Linked DNA regions of Kluyveromyces lactis. The protein of the gene in region 1 interacts with the protein of each later gene in a pairwise test. Links are inferred from orthologs where the notes say so. Each region holds a gene or a part of one and is shown in the gene's direction. Other genes may lie near its edges.

Region 1 (2,760 bases):
GAACACTTGATGTTAGAGAAATATCTCCTTTATTCAGTGCTCCATATCAATCCCATTTGTGATAATGTCCTCATTATCATCGAATTATCCGGATATTTATCTGATTCTGTTACAGGCTGAAAGAGTCGTGCAAGCACTTTTACAAACGTAAGCTTCCTGCTTTGACTGTAAGGAAAAATACCTGAGATTCTGTGGTGAAACACCTACTCAACTTGGGTACTTCCTCCTTCTTGTCGTTGCATCATCACTAAAATACTGTTTGAGATAGCACTATTGAGATTGAAGAAAGTGTTAACGTTACAATCCATTACAGATAACTAACATCGACACGACTCCGCAAAATCACACACGAATACACTTATCAGAGTAATCCATACTTTTTCCAATGGTTTTTATCCATCCTTTCTTGAAGAACAACTAAAGGGTTTTAAACGGGATACCACCCCTCGCACGTACCGTTAGCCATTCTTGATATGTTTTTCTGGTCTCTGAGGTCTAAGCTTAAACAATAATAAAGTTAATGTTGATATATCCAAGCTTATACATGTAATAAATGATAAATTCATTAAAATCATTGACAATTTGTTACTATGAAAAATTGAAGCTGACCTTTGGATATTGAAACCTACGATCTGGCAAAAATGTGTCTGCCATTCATTTTCCACATTCTATCTTGACAAATTAGGAAATTCTTAACATAAATGAAATTCGAAAAGTAATGAAAGCCATCCCTCTTCAACAATGTCTGGGTGTTTCAGAAATTAGACAGTCCCGAAATTACTGTAGAACTCCACGGTTGTTAGATTGGCGAACCTATGTCAACAAGAGAGAAAGAGAAAACTATACGGCGCAAGTTTCTGTATATATCATCTATTGAACGTTTACTAGATGGATAAGGAGGGAATGAGATGTCGGGCTGTATGCATATGAGTAATTGGTCCTAGACGAACAATGTTGGAAACATCTTTCGCAGTATAGATCACTCCATTAAACATTGACAGCCATTTTCAAACTGAAAGCTTTAATCTCGAACCAGGTTGTAGAGAAGATATTGTCTGGAGAGTCACAAATCCACTACAATAATACCTGTTCTGAGGAATGTACGCTTTCTTATGACCTGATCAAAACGGACGTATCTCAACTTACTGTATAGTATTGTTTATAATAATGCATCTTATTCTCATCTTTTATACTAAATTTTCTTGAACGAACAAAATGAAAAAGTTCAAAAGTCAGATAAATCCGGGTAATAATATTAGTAACTATTCTTTCTTCTGGAAATGAATCTCGAATGGTAACTAAGACGCATAAAGAAGTTAATGATAACGGTAAAAACACTATACTCTGAGACTGAACTAACGTATGGCAATTAGTTTACTCCTCCAAAGAATCGGGGATGAATTTTGTACTTTTTTGCTTTCTAGTTTGGCAGTTCGTAAACCCAGGTGCTGCATTCGATATTAAGGGCAGACTAGATTTGAAAGTTAGGAACGTTTCGAGACATGATATATCGAGAACCTATTTTAACCTGTACAGGATACGGAATCCCAATGATGACTCGGAATGGGATTCATATTCACAGTCATCAAAATTGGAGAATATCAATGGTGAATTCACCTTCAGCGATGTTCCCATTGACACTGGTATCAATAGGACGACATACTTCACATTACATTCGCATTCCAATGAATTCAATTTGAAACCCAACAGAATACTGATACAAATTGTAGGTAACGGGCAAGATCAGGAACCTAACCTCAGCGCCTTTGAGAACAGATTTGGCAGAGAGTATTTCCCATCTCCAGATATTACATATCCCGAAACTTTGAATCCATTACCCTTGGATTCTGCAAACCGTTTAACAATAACAACGATGAACAAACAACCATACAGAAAATATATAAAGATAAGAAATCCTGGAATCCTCGAGAGTGGTCCCATTGCCAGTGTTTTAAGATCAAAATTCAAGCTAGCAGGCGTCGTGACAGTGATATTTTTAGTTTTGTTCCCTATTTTGTTGGAGAAGTTCGATCCTGAGACTGCTAAAGCTATGAGACAAGAGAAGATGCATAGAGAGAACGCAAAATATGTTTCAAAATAGCTTTTTCGTTGAATGGTGTATGTATTACACTTGTATAAGTTACGAATATCTTGCAAATCTTATTCATCTTTTGCACACTTTCCTAGTTTTTGTACTTTATCTATGAAAAAAATAAACAGCTAAGAAATTAGGGAAACAGCTTGAGAAACAAACGAACAAACACTTATCATAGTAAGGGCGAAAAAAACCCAAAATACGTTCACTCACTTATAGATTAGTTGAATTTCTGCTAAGAAAATATTATACTAGGGAATGACGTTTGTAATATAATGATCCAGGAGTACGTTACATTATTAGCTCAGGTGCTTAACTTGGTTCCAGAGGATGATTCTGATCTGATATCTATTTTATGTGATATTTGCAATTCTTACGAAAATACAGCCTCTAAAGATGAGCTATATACATACACAACGTTTGAAATAAGCCAGAGGTTTAATAACATCGAGCCAACGGAATTGAATTTTGTATATGATGACACATCGAAGTGGGAGAAGCTTTTATCTCATCAGTCATCGGAATTGAGCTACATTATCGCTTTGCATATAGTATTATGTCTCATTGAGAATTCAATAGTGAACAAACAAAGTTTTGCAAAACATCCAGCCATGAAATCGTTTGTGAAAGCCCGCTTACGTGGAAATGAAATGGATCCTTTGTTG
Region 2 (2,408 bases), on another chromosome or scaffold:
ATGTCTGATTAACGTGACATTATCATTCAAGAAGTTTATGGAATCATTTGACATAAAATCTGATAATTCAATAACAACATTATATCTGCAATATGTTAACAAACTTGTAATTTTGGGTAAGGAGTTCGCAATTGAAATTTCAGAAACGCTTTTGGATGACATTGTTGAAAAATTCTTGAAGCCGTTGAGTGAATTACTACCAAAGATTGATTCGGATGCCATATCTGTCCTAGATTTTAAGCTTTTCACCTCAATAGTTACTTGGAATTTAGCAACTTGGAGAGATGTTATCAAAAATAATGAAGAACCTATAGCTGTTTCACATACTACGCTGAATCAAATTAGAACGGTATTAGTCGAATTGCTGAATCTTTCTTCAAAGATCGATTCTAACCCTGAAATACAACACGACAAGAAATTCCATGTGCTTCATGTAATACTCTCTCCATTGTTAGATATTATCATTGCATTCAAAATGTTTGAGCTCGATTTGTCAGAAAAGGATTCCGATTGGATAAGGGCGTTAAGGCAAGAATATTCAGTTATCTCTAACGAAGATCTAACTGGTATTTGCCACAAAGTTTTCCTCTACCTTGAGAGTTGTCTTGGAAAATTTTTGGGAATAACTCTAGATCGAGTGGCTGATGAAGATGTAAATTATGGCGCTGTCAACTTAGTCGATGTTGATGGAGATCCAGAGAAGGAGCTTTGTATCTATACCATTAAATTGAAAGGCCTCATCAAACTTGGAATTCTAAACTATAGCGATTTAACTACAAGAATTGGGTTAAACCAAGAGAAATTAGGGCCATTATTTGAGAGTGTAGTAAGCGAAACGGTTTTCGAAGATGAACCGAAAAATAACGCTGAGAGCCATCCTGCAGCCAAATTAAACCAAGAACCAGTACCCCAACAATATGATGAAGTTCTTGAACCAATTGAGGAATTCACTCAGGATGAAACAGTTCATTCGCCTCCGCACCCTGCAGACCCCATTGTTTCATCACCAATCTAATCTTATTGGGGATCCTACGAAATGAAATTCCTGCGAGTGCATTTAAATCAGTTTATTTTTTTTTTTGGTGAATTGTGTTAAACATAATACATAAAACCTATTACATGGCTATCGATAACCTAAGCTCTCCTCAATCATGCGGCTGTGTGTCAGTACTGCATGCTATCTCTCTTTTTTACCTAGATAGTTTCTCTTGTCGGAAACTCTATAACACTCAGAAAAAAAAAAAAACGGAAAGGTTATTCAAGAATACCAAACAAAATATAGGTAGTATAAGGTTCAACTGGACAGATCTAACATAAATAGGCTTTGTTACTTTACTTAAATACTACTATTCACCGTTTTATCTTGGAATCAACAATGTCAATACTTTCCAAATCATTCTACTTTATAGCGTGGATACAGATTATTCATTCTGGTGTGTCCAGCTATGAATTTCATCAGATTGTGAAACATATCATTCTAGAGAACCCAGACGCTAAAACTCCAGGTTTACCAGATGACGTAAAATTGGAGGCACTATGCGGGTTATTATTCTTTATTTTGGGTACATTTATCAGTCAATCCAAGCTTAAGTACCTTAGTATTCGTGGGGAGGAACGAATAATTGAGACAGATGAGTATCTTAAACCTATCGAATTGAACAAGGCGTCCAGTACAGATGTAGTGATAAACAATGATCCTTATGGGGAAATAAACTACCTTCCTTCATTTGTTGACATCCATGCTAAGAGGAAACTGTTCAAAGAATACCTTCATCGCAGTTTGTGAGTTGATAAAGATTGGTAACTTAAACGCATACATATATATAATATGTACTGGGGAATTACATAATATAATGACTTTGCAATAATAACTAACGGGAGTAGATACAGGGCCGATAGCCAATATAGGCACTTCACCAATCACATTAGGACGTCAGTTATCATTGTGATTGTACGTGTAAAAGGGATTTGGAGGATCCTGTGTACTCTGTGTACTATTTTGTTCAATGAATCGAGGATCTGATGATGCAGACTGTTTATATCGCTGAGGTGGCGTCATCTTATGCAATGAGTGTGATAAAATATCATTCCGTGTCGCACTTGGGTTAGAAATGCCTTCTATCTCTGCTAATCTACTCATTTTTGCAGATGATTTCAAAAGATCTTGATGTTGCGTCTGTATCTCGCGTTGGAGCTTGTACTCTTCTAAATGTTCTTGTAGCTCGGAAATATCATCGGAAGTCAAGGATAAAACTGTAGGATCACGCCTTAGCATAATGGTTGGTATTTATGCCGATTCTATGTTATAATTCTACGTTATGCTATATAAATTGACATCTTAAGAAACTTGACTGCTTTTGTGTTATTAAATTCGGTTGATGAAATATGATGCGAAAGGAAAAGCAAAA

The links. The genes of interacting proteins can lie anywhere in the genome.
Region 2: the proteins of SOP4 (region 1) and EMC5 interact in binary tests that used the Saccharomyces cerevisiae proteins (3 or more experiments, as listed by UniProt). The link is inferred for Kluyveromyces lactis from reciprocal best matches to the Saccharomyces cerevisiae genes SOP4 and EMC5.

What each region holds. Positions count from the first base shown.
Region 1 is NC_006038.1:665,493-668,252, forward strand, and holds SOP4 (Sop4p), read left to right. Parts: upstream 1-1,396; coding exon 1,397-2,101; downstream 2,102-2,760. Other genes in the region: KLLA0_B07623g (40S ribosomal protein uS11), read right to left, coding at 457-466; BPH1 (Bph1p), read left to right, coding at 2,371-2,760. UniProt on the Saccharomyces cerevisiae protein: Involved in the export of PMA1, possibly through the monitoring or assisting of PMA1 folding and acquisition of competence to enter vesicles.
Region 2 is NC_006042.1:2,571,022-2,573,429, reverse strand, and holds EMC5 (Emc5p), read left to right. Parts: upstream 1-1,375; coding exon 1,376-1,786; downstream 1,787-2,408. Other genes in the region: cohesin subunit IRR1, read left to right, coding at 1-1,015; anaphase promoting complex subunit CDC26, read right to left, coding at 1,934-2,275. UniProt on the Saccharomyces cerevisiae protein: Part of the endoplasmic reticulum membrane protein complex (EMC) that enables the energy-independent insertion into endoplasmic reticulum membranes of newly synthesized membrane proteins.